Linked DNA regions of Sus scrofa. The protein of the gene in region 1 interacts with the protein of each later gene in a pairwise test. Links are inferred from orthologs where the notes say so. Each region holds a gene or a part of one and is shown on either strand. Other genes may lie near its edges.

Region 1 (7,197 bases):
GCCCTAAAAAGACAAAAAAAAAAAAAAAAAAAAGAAATGGGAGAAATAGATATTACATACAACCAGGAGATGACAAAGAAAGAGTGTAGGAAAAGAGGGGGCAGAACAGAAAAGGGAGTTCTGGAAGGTTCTCCCGCCGACTTAATTCCTCGTTCTCATATGAGTTTCAAGCCAGTCTCTGGCCCCTCTCCTCCAGGGCTTGATTTCTCCTTCTTCAAAGGAGGAAGAGGGGGCTCTAACCCCCTGAATCCTTTCAGATCTGAACACGCTGTCTGGTTCCTGGAACTGCCACTTAAAGGCTTCCGAGGCAGAGGCTGTGTCAGGAGACGGCAAGGCCAGGAAGGTCAGTTGGCGGCCAGGAGGGAGGGGAAGTGTGGGGCCTCCTGGCAAGTGTCAAAGGACCCATTACCCAGGGAGGGGCCCCGACCAGCTAGGAACGAAACACTTCCCACCCTGTTTTCTCCTTCGAAGTTGACAGAGGAGAGGCTGGTCTGAGCCATGGACAGGTGGGGAAACTGAGGCTCAGATGGAGTAATTGACTAGAAGTTAACTAGCGTCTAGGATGCCTCATTATTGGCTGCAGTGTTCTCAGGCCAGTAGTCAAAAAGGGGAAAATTCTGGCTTTGAAAACCAGACAAACCCGATTATTTATTTATTTATTTATTTTTGTCTTTTTAGGGCCACACCCCCATGGTATATGGAAGTTCCCAGGCTAGGGGTCGAATCAGAGCAACAGCTGCTGGCCTACACCACAGCCACAGCAACACGGGATCTGAGACTGGTCTGCCACCTATACCATAGCTCACAGCAACATGGAGCCTTAACCCCCTGTGCAAAGCCTGGGATCGAACCCACGTCTTCATGGATGCTATCGGGGTTCGTTAACCGCTGAGCCATGACGGAAACTCCTGTTGCTGTGATTTTCTGAAGCTGATGCACCAGATCCGCCCTGGGCAGAGAGCTAGTGCTGAGTATCACTCCTGCCATTTGCCTCCTGAGTCCAAGAGCTGACACTGGCCCTAAGGGCTGGTTCCAATCATATCAGGGTGCCATCTGTCCCTCCTTACCATGCATGCCTTCAACCAGATAATACAGCAGGCATCTAATACACATGAACTGAATGAATAAATAATCTTTTGTGGAAAGGAGGGTTTGACGGGAAATCTGAAGGAGCTGTTTGCCAAAATGACTGTGACATCTGCAATGCCGAATCTGTAACCCACTTAGCGAGGCCAGGGATGGAACCCGCATCCTCACCGACACTGTGTCGGGTTCTTAACCCGCTGAACCACACCAGGAACTCTTCATCACACCTCTTATTTGCCCCAAGTTCTTCTCAAAGTCTGGCTCCTAGACTGATAACTCTAGGGAAGAATCTTCCTCCGCAGCTGACCTCCCAGAATTTTGTCCCTGCAGCCCCCTTGTCAAAGGGACACACCTCATACATGAGGACAATAAGAATCCTTGAATTTGAGCCCCTGGGCAATCCCTTAATGTTTTAAATCTCCATTCTCTCCATTTTGCAGGTGGCACCCATGAGTAATATTTACTTCAAAAATGGTTTTATGTGATGACAACAGAAACAATAAGATTGTTATTCCAAAAATGGAGATGGAGTTCCCGTCGTGGCTCAGTGGTTAAAGAATCTGACTAGGAACCATGAGGTTGTAGGTTCGATCCCTGGCCTTGCTCAGTGGGTTAAGGATCCGGCGTTGCCGTGAGCTGTGGTGTAGGTTGCAGACGTGGCTCGGATCCCGCGTTGCTGTGGCTGTGGTGTAGGCCGGCAGCTACAGCTCCGATTAGACCCCTAACCTGGGAACCTCCATATGCCGCGAGTGGGGCCCTAGAAAAGGCAAAAGGACCAAAAAAAAAAAAAAAGAAAAAAAAGGAGAGGAGGAGTTCCCATTGTGGTGTAACGGAAACAAATCTGACTAGTAACCATGAGGTCTCTGGTTCAATCCCTGGCCTTGCTCAGTGGGTTAAACATCTGGCATTGCCATGAGCTGTGGTGTAGGTCGCAGACACGGCTGGCATCCCGTGTTGCTGTGGCTGTGATGTAGGCAGGCAGCTGCAGCTCTGATTAGACCCCTAGCCTGGGAACCTCCGTATGCCACGGGTGCAGCCCTCAAAAAAAAAAAAAAAAAAAAAAAAAAAGCAAAAACAGAGAGGAGCTGGGGAGAGGGCTTATTTCACAGGCAGCATTACAAAGAACAGAGGAAATTCCCTCACACTGCATAAGAAACCACAGAAACACATGCACCCAAACATGCAGACAAAAAAAGAAAAGAAAAAAAAAAGCTCACCTTAAATTAGAAACAGCCCTTCCCAGACGCATAACCAAATACAAACACTAACCAAAATTGCTCTCTCTGGTTCATGCAAATGCAGATACACATGTACCCAAAAAAAACCCCACGAAAATAAAGAGGACAAAACACACACACACAGGCTGCAGCTGCTGTACTTTGTTTATTGTCACTGTCACCCTTGGGAAGCTCCAGCCTCTTTAGCATCTTTCTTTTTTTTTTGTTTGGGGTGACCCTGCTTTTCTCTACCCCCTGCCTCTTGCTCCCCAACCTGCCCTTTTTCTCAGGCTGGGGCGGCTTCCCTGGCAGCCCCTCGAGCCTCAGTCACGTGGGGTAAGTCCTGGGGGTGGAGGGGCAGGGCGGCCAGCAGGCCTGGATCCCGCCCCCAGGCACTGATTCCTCCGCAGTCCTGTCTCCATTGCTGTGGGGTGTCTGTGCTCTGGCCTCACCTGGCAGAAGGAAAGCAGATGGTGAAAGCACAAAGGCCCGGGTTCTAATTCTGGCTCTCCTGCTCACTCACCCGTGACTCCAGAGAAAGATCTTACACTCTCTGGGCCTCGGTTTCCCTCTCTCTAAACCAAATTTTGCTCCAGTTGGAAAGGATCTGTTTCCCTCTTTGCTCTGGCCACTAGGGAACTCAGAGTCCAACATATGTCTCATTTTATTCTATGTTGGGACAGCAATTGTTTGATCCCTCCTCCCTGCCCACCCACGCACGTTCAGGCCTGTCCTTTCCTAGCAGAGGGACCTCTACTGGTACTCAGGGAGCCCCTGATTCCTTACCTCGAGTTCTGTTTCAGGTCCGTGCTGCTCGCTTTTTCCGCTCCGTGTTCTGGATCTTGGTCACCAGCTTCCTCTCGTGGCCACCAGGGCTGGGGCGGTTGGTGTTGGCAGCAGCCTCTCTCTTGGTGCGACCTTTCCGGGCTCTCCCTCCTGGGAATCAAGACAGGGGTCCGCGGTGAGGTGGGCAGAGGCGTGATGCCTCAAGGGACGGGCTGGGGGTCCAGCGGGCGGGGGTGGAAGAGCTCGGGTTAAAGTCAGGAGGCTGGGGGGTCATGACCACGTAGCTTTAGGGATGTCCTTGTCCCTGTTTCCCCATCTGTGGAAATAGGGTACCGCCCCCCAATCTGTCATTGCTCCAAACACTCTAGCAGAGTATGAGGTCCCAGGGCCAAGTAGGACGGGGATGCTCAGTGGATGCGGGGTTAGAAGGGGGCAACTTGAAAGATCAAGGGAACAGGCCGGAGAAGGGTGATGGGTGGGCAGGAGCCCAAGGAAGGATTCTAGTGTGGGGAGATGGGGTGTCGGACTGTGTTGGAAATAGAAGGACTGGGAAGGTGGCAGGGCCGGGACTTACCCAGGTAAGAATGAGCCAGGCTATAGAGGTCGTACTCATCCAGGTTGGGGTCTTCATCTTCTGGGCATAGGAGCTGCCTGGGGGGGCTGGCTGCTCGCGGGAAGGTGGTCATAATGTCTCTGTCTCTGTCTCTCTCTTCCTCGCCCATCTTCTAAGGCTGTGTTTGCATCTGCTTTCCTGACACCTCCTAGTTCACGGCCCCGATTTATAAGGCCACGTCTCCTCCTCAGCCCCTAGTCTGGCTCCAGCCCCTCAGGCTCTGTCTGATGCAATCTGGCCTTTTCCCAGAACCCAGCCAAGTAAACACCAGTCACGAGAGGGGAAAGGAGTCATCCCCTCCCCCGTGAGCCCCAGCCCCCCTGCCTCCTCCCTCTCACCGGGGCTCGCCCAGCTGGGTATTTTTCCACAGAGAAGAGCCTCAGGGCTGGGGGCTGGGGAGGAGGGAGGAGGCGGAGTCTGGCATAAACAGCCCTTGGGATCTAAACCAGCAGGGAACTCAGCGCCTCACCTGGTTGACTCCTCCCTGGCCATCGCCTGCCCTCTGCCACATGCCCTTCCTGGGCTGGGGGGTCACGGCCACACAGCTGACCTCCACCCCCATCCGCTTCTGGCTCAGATTCAGGACTGGCGGCAGAACATGGAGTGAAGAATGACCTGGGAGAGGACACAACACACGCTGTGCTCTGTCATGCGTTCTGACCCTGATCTCAACCAACGCCCACTTTTTCTTGTATTTATGTAGTTTCTTTTATAATTTTTTTTTTAGGGCTGCACCCGTGGCATATGGAAGTTCCCAGACTAGAGGTCGAATCAGAGCTGCAGCTGGCAGCCTATGCCTCTGCCACAGCAACACCAGATCTGAGCCGCCTCTGTGACCTACACCACAGCTTACGGCAACGCCAGATCCTTAACCCACTGAGCGAGGCCAGGGATCGAACCCAGGTCCTCATGGATACTAGTTGGGCTTGTTACCACTGAACCACAATGGGAACTCCCCTTTTACTTTTAAATAAGAAACACCTTGGAAAGCCCCCTTAACATCCTGAACTGGGGGTCAGTAGATGATCTCCCCCTCCTGAGATGGGGGCTAGCAGAGTGGTTAAGAATGCAGATTCTGGAGCCAAATGACCTGGATTCAAATCCTTGATCCACTACTTCCTGTGCGACCCTGGACAAGTCACTTTACGTCTCTGGGCCTCAGTTTCCTCCTCTGTAAAAGGAGGATGATAGTTGTATCCAGGTTATAGAGTTGGGGTGACGTTCAAGATAATCCACAGCAAGGCACTTGGAACACTGCCTGCTACAGGGTTAGCTGCGTGGCATCTGTTGATCACACAGTTTCCAAACAGCTCAATATAATGCTCTCCTGGAGTTCCCGTTGTGGCTCATGGGTTATCGAACCCGACTAGCATCTGTGAGGATGTGGGTTCCATCCCTGGCCTCGCTCAGTGGGTTGAGGATCTGGCATTGCTGTGAGCTGTGGTGTAGGTCGCAGACATGGCTCGGATCCCGCATGGCTGTGGCTGTGGGGTAGGCTGGCAGATGTAGCTCCTATTGGACCCCCAACCTGGGAACCTCCATGTGCTGTGGGTACAGCCCTAAAACGCAAAAAAAAAAAAAAGTCAATTAAAAAATAACATAAAATCATCCATATTTCAAATCATGACTCTACTGAGGTAGAAGGCATTATGAAGTAAACAGATGTTCGTGCTCATTTACTGTGAATGAAAGGAAGGGGTTTAGATCAGTAACACCTGAAAGTGGAATTTTCCACTCTTGGCTGAAGGCTCTGACGGCGTGGGTCACATTGACCTAGAGAGTCCACACCCTGGCTTGTCCACTCCTGCTTTAGCTGAGGCTAGAGCACCAGCTCCCAGCTCTCCGGCATAGCCATCAGGAACAGAAAAGGAGGCAGCTTTTTACTTTTTTCTTTTCTTTTTTTTAAACTCTGTGGTTTCCAGCGCGAGAGGACTTTCTTCTCAGCCCAGGGCAGGTGTTAATCCTCTGCTCCTCCCTTGCCCCCCTCTCCCCTCTCCCTCTTGAGAGCCCAAGGAGACACCGCTCCATGTCAGCATTAGTTACCTAAACCCATTCTTCCCGCAAACCCTTTAATAACCCGGTCTTGTCCTCTGTTGTATCAGCAGGGGCACTTCTGCTTGCTTTGCTCCCGGGCCTGAGCCAGCATTAAATTTAGCTTTTGTTTTCCAGATGTGGGTGATCTGTGAGTCCTTTAACACCCAGGAAATGAAAGTGAAGACAAGAAGACACTTGAATAAAGACAGAGTGGGGACAATGATGACAGACCAGCGGATAGGAGAAAGAGGAGAAAACGGTAACTTAAAAAAATGATGACACCAAGGCAAATGAAGGTGGAGGAAATGAGAAAATACCGGGTTCTTGCAAAGTGATGGGCGTTATCCCTAAGTATAGGAGCAAAAGAATCCAATCATGACATGGTAAATAAGTTTTTTGGGGGGTTTGTTTTTGTTTTTGTTTTTTTGTCTTTTTGCCTTTTCTAGGGCTGCACCCTCAGCATATGGAGGTTCCCAGGCTAGGGGTCCAATCGGAGCTGTAGCCGCCAGCCTACACCACAACCACAGCAGCATGGGATCTGAGCTGCATCTGTGACCTACACCACAGCTCACGGCAACGCCGGATCCTTCACCCACTGAGCAAGGCCAGGGATCGAACCCGCAACCTCATGGTTCCTAGTCGGATTCGTTAACCACTGAGCCACGACGGGAACTCCTGTTTTTGCTTTTTAGCTTCCTGAACATTTAGCAGGACAGTCAGACACCTGCGGGATGTCGGGGCAATCCTGCAGAATGAGGGACTGTCCGGCTCCAACGGGCGCAGTCTCTGCGACTGCGAACACACCCACAAATTCCCAAGCTACCTCTAGGGGGCAGTCTTTCACTCACTCACCCCTGTGAGCTGCATTCCTGCTTACCAGATGCAAGATCTTTTTTCTTTTTTCTTTTTTTATTTGGGGGGGGGGTCGCTTTAAGGCCTCACCTGTATCATATGGAAGGTCCCAGGCTAGGGGTCGAATCAGAGCTGCAGCTGCTGGCCTACACCACAGCCACAGCAATGCGGGATCCTTAACCCACTGAGCGAGGCCAGGGATCGAACCTGCATACTCATGGATACTAGATGGGTTCATTACTGCTGCGCCACAACGAGAACTCCACCAGCTACAAGATCTTGAGCCCACGTCTGAGCTTCAGTCTGCTCATCTGTAAAGGGAGAATGGCGACAGCACCTGTGGTATAAAAGGGCTTCCTCCAGAGCCACCCAGGGCGCACTGCTGCTTTCCTTTTCCTTCTTCTCCTCCTCCGCCTCCTTCTTCTTATTTTGGCGGAGCCGGAGGCATGTGGAAGTTCCTGGGCCAAGGATCAAACCCAAACCACAGCAGTGGATAACTGCCAGATCCTTGACACGCTGCGTCACCAGGGAACACCTCCCCCATTCTTCAAAGAAGGAAAACAGAGGCTCAGAGAGTGACTCAATCAAGGTCACAAGGCTGGTGAGTGG
Region 2 (8,013 bases), on another chromosome or scaffold:
AGCAAGGCCAGGGATAGAACCCACATCCTCTTGGATACTAGTTGGGTTTGTTACCTCTGAGCCACAATGGGAACTCCCCAAAATTCTTTAAATGTGACAATGCAGTGTGTTTGAAGGTAGCCAAAAGCTTGATGATACATCAGACTGAATGGCCAGCAAGTACAGATGTGAAAGTGGAGATTCACACAAGCAGACAGCATGAGAGGCAGTGTTGCAGTCAGCAAGGCAAGACACAGTGTACCCTTCATCAAACAGCAGACGAGGGGACCATCTTGTTCTGCTTCTAAGCACTCTGCCCACTCTCCTAAGGTTACCCTCAAGCTGCTTTGAGTTTCAGCTGTTGCTTAGATTTTTTGACCAGACTGGCTGTCTAACTAGTACTCTAAGGGATGCCTTTGTGGCCCCAGCATCTAGGAGAGTACCTGGCATATTTAGAGAGGTTCAGGAGTTCCTATTGTGGCTCAGCAGATTAAGGACCTGACATTGTCTCTGAGGATATGGGTTTGATCCCTGGCCTCACTCAGTGGGTTAAGGTTCTGGCGTTGCCATGAGCTGTGGTATAGGCCAGCAGCTGCAGCTCTGATTTGACCCCCGGCATGGGAACTTCCATAATCACAGATGCACCATAAAAAGAAAAAAAAAAAAAAAGAGAGAGAGAGAGAGGTTCAAAACCCGCCTATTGAATAAATAGAACACATCACAGTTTCATGGGTTGATTCATAGACCATCTCTATTATTTATTATTGGCTGTGCCTGTGGCAGGCAGAAGTTCCTGGGACAGGAATTGAACTTGTGCCACAGTAGTGACCCAAGTCATAGCAATGACGATGCCAGATCTTTAACTCACCAAGCCACCAGGGAACTCTTCGCAGACTCTCTAAACCTACTTCTCTATTTTTCTTCCCCTCTTCAATGCTGACTACTTTTACCACCAGCTTTTTTTTTTTTTTTTTCTTTTCCCCTTTCTTCTCTGGCCACCCTGGGGCATAGGGAGCCTCCAGGGTCAGGGATCAGATCTGAGCCTCAGTTGTGACTTATGCTATAGCTGTGGCAAGGCCAGGTCCTTAACCAACCATCCTGGGTCTGGATAGAAACTGTGTCCCAGCCCTCTAGAGATGCTGCCCATCCAGTTGCACCACAGCAGGAACTCCAGCCCTTTAAATTTGTTTATCCATCATTAAGTTTAGACGTTCCCTGTTTAGCATTCTGTTCTGACCTTGCTAGGCTACTGCCAGATAACCAGACAAATGGCCCTGACATGACACTCTTCTTCCCCATAAACGAGCATTTCCCCCCAAGCCCTTAGGGGCTCCAGTGCTCCACCACACATGTTTTCTACCATTTACATTCCATAACAAATTCAAGTAACTTGTTCCAGAGTTAGGCACACCCCCCCAGCACATGCACAGAGGTTCTTCTAGTTTATGCTTTCGCTTTGTTCATTGTAAACTGTCTCCTTTAAGCTTGACCTAAATTAAGAGCCATAACAATTAAATCAGGTTGAAGAAATAATATGAAGCACTGGATCAGAAAAATTAGGAAACTTTATATTTGCGTTGAACAGAGAATTATTTTGATGACTCCAGTTGCATAACAATTTGGAATAAATATCATTTCTCAGGCTAACAAATTATTCCGCTTATCAGTACATTCAGTGGGCACTTACACCCTATTTTCTGTACTCTTTCCCCCAAAACAAATATTAAAAGGGTTCTTTCTGAAGTCTGTCTGAAGTAAGAGGCAGACTTGGGTGAATGAATTTATCTTCTCCTCTCTCAAGTATTAATTCATTATACACAGTAAGAAATCTATTGCTTGGAGTTCCCGTCGTGGCTCAGTGGTTAACAAATGCGACAAGGAACCATGAGCTTGAGGGTTCGATCCATGACCTTGCTCAGTGGGTTAAGGATTCGGCATTGCTGTGAACCGTGGTGTAGGTCGCAGACGAGGCTTTGATCCTGCGTTGCCGTGGCTCTGGAGTAGGCTGGCGGCTACAGCGCTGATTTGATTCGACTCCTAGCCTGGGAACCTCCATATACTGAGGGAGCAGCCCCAGAAATGGCAAAAAGACAAAAAAAAAAAAAAAAGGAATTCTATTGCAGAGTTCCCTTGTGGCACAGCAGGTTAAGGATCCAGCACTGCCACTGTAGCAGCTTGAGTCGCTGCTGTGATGAGGGTTCAATCCCCACCCAGGAACTTACACATGCCTCAGGCACAGCCAAAAAATAAAAATAAAAAATAAATTCAAAAAATAAAAGAAGGAGGAGTTCCCGTTGTGGCTCAGAGGGTTATGAACCCAAGTAGTACCCATGAGAATGCAGGTTCAATCCCTGGCCGCGCTCAGTGGGTTAAGAATCCGGTGTTGCCACAAGCTGCAGCACAGGCTGGCAGCTACAGCTCCAATTTGAACCCTAGCCCGGGAACTTCCATATGCCCAGGGTGTAGCCCTAAATGGGAAAAAAAAAAAAAAAAAAAAGAGAGACGCTAAAGAAGGAACTAATTGGCTATGTCAAGGGAAGACTTGTTTTTTGCTATCATTTCCTAATTTCGGAATTTTTTTTTGTTTTTACATGTGCATATATTACCGATTCAAAAGCTAAAAACCAGCCAACTCATGCCTAAAATCAAAATTAAAAAACCTGGGAGGCAGCCTAAAAATGCTAAACTATTGAGGCTACACAGGATCACAAAGCTGGGACAAGGAGAGAAATCAAAGAGATGAAAACTTCCAATTTGGCTGGGGAGAGCCAGTCATGCCCCACTGAATGGGAGACACTGTTCCCTTAAGGGAAAGGCAGCATAAAAGCAGATCCAGTTTCCCCCAGCAACACCTAAGCCCTGCTGACACCAGGTGCAAAGAGAACACTTTGGCCTTTTTTTTTTTTTCTTTTTTAGGGCTGCACCCGCAGAATATGGAAGTTGCCAGGCTAGCGGTCTAATCCGAGCTACAGCTGCCAGCCTGTGCCATAGCCACAGAAACGCAGGCTTGGGGGCATATCTGCCACCTATACCACAGCTCATGGCAACGGCAGATCCTTAATTCATTCATTGATTGAGGCCTGGGATTGAACCTGCAACCTCATGGTTCCTAGTCTGATTTGTTTCCACTGCGCCATGACAGGAACTCCCACAGCACTTTAGGCTTTTGGAGAAAAGCCTATTACTTCACAGGTCAATCCTGCTAGTGCTCATCAATCAACTGCGTGGAGTCACTGGGAAGGGATCTTAACCAGCTGCTTCAAAATCTCCCACCAAAGGTGCTGATGTTTGAAGCCTGTTCTGGGCTACAATCTCTAGATTAGGCAGCTCCACACCTGCAGGCTCTAGGCGATGACTTGCAACCACAAACCAAAGAACACAAAGCCTGATGGCAAAGCAATCAAACATTGCTTTTAACCATGTCTCTTCTTCCAAGGTTCCCAAATACTAGCTAGGCCTGTCCCTTCTCTCTCACTTCACCCAAAAAAATGTTTATTATGTTCTATGTGAGACACACTGTACAGTTACAAATGTGAACCAGATACCATGTGAACCGACTGCTTCTCCCTAATAAGTATCCTGTCTTTCAAATGACTCTCTTTTCCCCTCAGTCACAACAAACCCAGTACCTCCAGATACCCCAAGTCTGGAAATAAAACTGGCAAATGTTTAAAAAGGGATTCCTAGCTTAATGGGATAACACTATAAAATAATCATCAACTTAAATCTAATTGGTGAATGCTCAGCTTGGGGGAATCCGGATATAGGGCGAATCTACAAAGTCCCACCATCTGGCTCTTTCCCTAACTCCCATAAGTCTAGACAGTCCGGTTCTAAGGGAGTTAGTGGGCTCTCAGAGCCGACAGAATGCCCTTCCCTGCCGACACCCTCCATTCTCAGCTGCCAATTTGATTCCTCGTACTCCCTGGCCTGACCACCCCAGGCAGCGCCCTGGGGGCGGGGGTGGGGACGGCATAGGCACCCACCTGCGGCCAGACAGCTGCTCAGCACAGAAGTGGGCTGCAGGGTGTACACTGTCTTAACCACGCTGGTCATCGTAACGAGGCAGCACGACTGGGGCCTGGAAGGCACAAGCTGAATGTTACCCAGGGCTGGCCCAGGGAACCCAAGCTGACGGAGGGCCCCAGGAGAGCACGACGTGGAATAGAGAAAATTCTTCAATTCCCAGTCCATCCCATGGGCCTCCTACACCCAGCCAGTCTCCAGACCCAGGAGAGCCGAACCTAGGCGCCTGCTGCTCCTGCCCGCAGGCCTCGTCACTCGAGTTCAAAAGATGCCGGGCAGCAACTGCCGTAGCGCCGACAGAGTCCGCCGCCTCGGTTTCAAATGGAAACTTCCGGTGGCCTGGCGGGAGGGGGTGCGGTGAGCTCCCTGTAGGCAGCCATGTTGTACGGAAGCCACTACTATGGGTGACGCCTTTGGGGGCTGCCATGCTGTACGGAAGGTCCAGAGTGGAGGGGCGAGCTTGAGCTTCCTGGCGATGGGTGTGAGAGCCCCCAGGTCTGGGCGGGGGAGGGGAGTGGTGCACTTCGCCGACTTGAATGGAGCTATGAACCTACCAGCGTCATATTCTGGCCTTGGGACGCAAACGCAGTCACCTTTAGAGTTCATGTCACAATCCTTTTCTTTATTTGGTCTGTGATTGTCAGGGGTGTTGCATGATGCTCAATTGCCAGGAGCATAGAGGTGGGTGGGCCGAAAACTACACCTTACGGGGTGGAGAATGGTAGAGTTAAGAAACCAACTAGTATTCATGACGATGCGGGTTCCATCCCTGGCCCGGCTTAGTGGGTAAAGATCTGGAGTTGCCCTGAGCTGCAGTGTAGGTGGCAGACGTGGCCCGGATCCCACGTGGCTGTGGCGGGCAGCTGCACCTCCCATTCGACCCCTAACCACAGGTGCGGCCCTAAAAAGACAAAAAAAAAAAAAAAAAAAAAAAAAGTCTAACCTCCTGGACTCTGCCCTCTAGGAAACAGCAAATAATCTCATAAACTAGTCAATGTGTCTCAATTCAGCTGTAAAAAAAAGTTTATATTTACCAACTGTAGTAAAACTATGAGGGAAGAGGGAAAAGCAAGGAAACCTAGTTTATTTTAATTTATTTATATTGGCAGCACGTGCAGCATGCGGACCAGGATGGAATGTACCCCAGAACAATGAGCAGTAACAACTCTGGATCTTTAACCCATTGCACTACCAGGGAACTCCAAGGAAACCTAGTTTGTTTGTTTGTTTATTGCTTTTTAGGGCCGCACCCACTGCATATGGAAGTTCCCAGTCTAGGAGTTAAATTGCAGCTACAGCTGCCCGCCTATGCCACAGCCACAGCAATGTTGAACTGTTTCTGCAACTTATACCACAGCTCATGGCAATGCCAGATCCCCAACCCACTGAGTGAGGCCAGGGACTAAACCCTTGTCTTCATGGTTACTAGTCAGGTTTGTTCCTGCTGAGCCACTATGGGAACTCTCAAAACCTAGTTTAAATTGTAGTTCAAGGAAGACATCAGAGGTGATGTTTGACTAACAAAGGATGAGGAGGAGTTAATCAGGTGAACAATGGGGGAAGAGGAGAGAAATGTGAAATCTCAAGGTAGGAATGGGCTTTTCCTAGAGGGACGAAAAAAGATGGGAGAAGAATGTCACCGTCAAAGCTGGAGAGATAAGCAGTCAAATGACAGTCAAATGGTCTATCTTTGTAGACCAAAGATAACCAGGTTGTAGTTCAAATATAAAGAGATTTTTTTCCTTAAGAGTAATTAGAAGTCTTTGAAGTATTAGAGCAGGAGGGTGCCATTCAATTTATATTTTAAAAAGTTCACTGTGACTACTACTCCATGGAGAATGGACTGAAGGAGAGCAAGAGTGAAATTAGAGAGAGTTGGGAGGCTACTGTAATTAATCAAGTGAGAGATGATGGTGGTTTGGCTGAGATGATAGTGGTGGTGGAGATGGAGAGAGGCAGACGCACTTAAGACAGCTTTTGGAAGCAGAATCTCAGGACTCAGTATTAGACTGGATATGGGGGAAGGAGGGGTAAGGAAGAGGGATAGTTTAAGGATGACTCCCAGGCTTGAATAATTGTGTGGATAGAGTCATTATTTTGTGTTTGGGGGGGTGGGGGCTGAAAATTCAGCTTTGAACATGGTAAATCTGAAATGCCTTTGAGACATTCCAGTGGAGCTGTCAAGCGGGCAGCTGGAAATACAGGCTTTGAGCCCAGAGGAGAGTCTGGGTTGGAGATATACTATTGTGAATTATGAGTATTTGTATGTATTTAAAACTATAATATTGGATGAAATCACCAAGGGCAGAAGTACAGAGAGCCTTAGGACCAAGGACAGGAATGGCAGTACTTAGAAACTGCAGTGATAAGAAGGTGCCAGCCAAGAAATCTGATAAAGAGGTGCTGAAGAGGTGAGAAGAACACAGAAAGGGTAGTTCCTAGAAGCTAAGGAGGAGGAAGTGGTAAACTGCTGAAGGGAGTGGTAAACTATTGAAAATAACTGCAAGGGCAAGCAAGATGAGAATTTAAAGAATTTAATTTGGCAACAAAGATGTCATTGGTGTATACAAAATCCTGTAATGAATAAACTCATGCATAAGTTTTCTCTCATACACCCAAAAGTCATTGGTGAGTAAAGGAAGAAGAATTTTGGTGGAGAGGTTGGAGTGGAAGCCACATTGGAACAGGCTGAAAAGTGCAGGAGAGATGAAGAAGCAGCGACGGCAAGTGCAGAAGAGAGTTTGTGGATGTAGTAGAGCAATTGGGCAGTAACTGGAGGTGCATTGTGGGGGTCAAGAAAAGGTTTTCTTTTCTTTTCTTTCTTTCTTTTTTTTTTTTTTTTTTTTTTGCTTTTTAGGGCCGAACCCACGGCATATGGAGGTTCCCAGGCTATGGGTCCAGTTGGAGCTACAGCTGCCAGCCTACACCACAGCTCACGGCAATGCCGGATCCTTAACCCACTGAGGCCAAGGATAGAACCCGAAACCTCATGGTTCCTAGTTGGATTCGTTTCTGTTGAGCCACGATGGGAACTCCAAGAAAGGGTTTTCTCGAAGATGTAGATAACAGTGGATACATGTGCTAATGGGAATGAGCAGCTGAGAGGAAGAAAAGGATGCTTCAGGAGGAAGATGGCATGATCAAAGGAGCAAAGTCACAGAGAAAGGGGCAAGGCAGATGGTACTTAGAGTAGCATCTTCAAACCCTTTTGTTCTTGTACCCCTACAAAATATATATTTTCAAAATGTACCCTCTTCAGCGTTCCCACTGTAGTGTAGTGGGTTAAGAATCCAACTACAGCAGCTCTGCTCACTGCAGAGGTGCAGGTTCAAGGCACTGGCCTTGTGTAGTGGGTTAAAGGATCCAGTGCAGCTGCAGCTGTGGCCTGGATTCAACCCCTGGCCTGGGAACTTCTATGTGCCACAAGTGTGGCCAAAAAAGAAAGAAAGGAAAAAAAAAAAATATATATATATATGTATATATATTTCCCATCTCTATTTAGCTATGTGAACATATGTAATACAGTTATAATAATGTTTTGCTTTGCTGTCTCAAGGACTTCCCCAAGCATTCTCAAGTAGTCTTTTTTTTTTTTTTTTTGGTCTTTTGTCTTTTTAGGGCCTCACTCGGGGCATATGGAGGTTCCCAAGCTAGGGGTCAAAATGGAACTGTAGCCACTGGCCTACACCACAGCCACAGCAATGCCAGATCCAAGCCGCATCTTCGACCTACACCACAGCTCAACAGCAATGCCCTATCCCAGACCTACTGAGCAAGGCCAGGGATCAAACCTGCATCCTCGTGGATACTAGTCAGATTTATTTTCCACTGCGCCAAAATGGGAACTCCACTGCTTCCCTCTCTGTAATAGAAGGGAGGGGGAGAGAAGAAGTCAAGAGCTGGGTAGGTAAACTGGGGACTTGATGTCTTGAAGGTAGGGAAATTTCTTTCTGATGCCTCCAGGTTTATTTCTGAAGAAGACTTTTTTTTTTTTTTTTTTGTCTACTT

Evidence for each region.
Region 2: the proteins of NUPR1 (region 1) and KNSTRN interact in a two-hybrid assay, tested with the Homo sapiens proteins (2 studies listed by BioGRID and IntAct). The link is inferred for Sus scrofa from reciprocal best matches to the Homo sapiens genes NUPR1 and KNSTRN.

The regions. Positions count from the first base shown.
Region 1 is NC_010445.4:18,399,665-18,406,861, reverse strand, and holds NUPR1 (nuclear protein 1), read right to left. Parts: upstream 4,082-7,197; 5' UTR 3,812-4,081; coding exon 3,664-3,811; intron 3,240-3,663; coding exon 3,103-3,239; 3' UTR 3,090-3,102; intron 2,756-3,089; 3' UTR 2,451-2,755; downstream 1-2,450. UniProt on the Homo sapiens protein: Transcription regulator that converts stress signals into a program of gene expression that empowers cells with resistance to the stress induced by a change in their microenvironment.
Region 2 is NC_010443.5:130,925,386-130,933,398, forward strand, and holds the start of KNSTRN (small kinetochore-associated protein), read right to left. Parts: upstream 4,788-8,013; 5' UTR 4,433-4,787; coding exon 4,224-4,432; intron 4,061-4,223; coding exon 3,966-4,060; intron 1-3,965. UniProt on the Homo sapiens protein: Essential component of the mitotic spindle required for faithful chromosome segregation and progression into anaphase.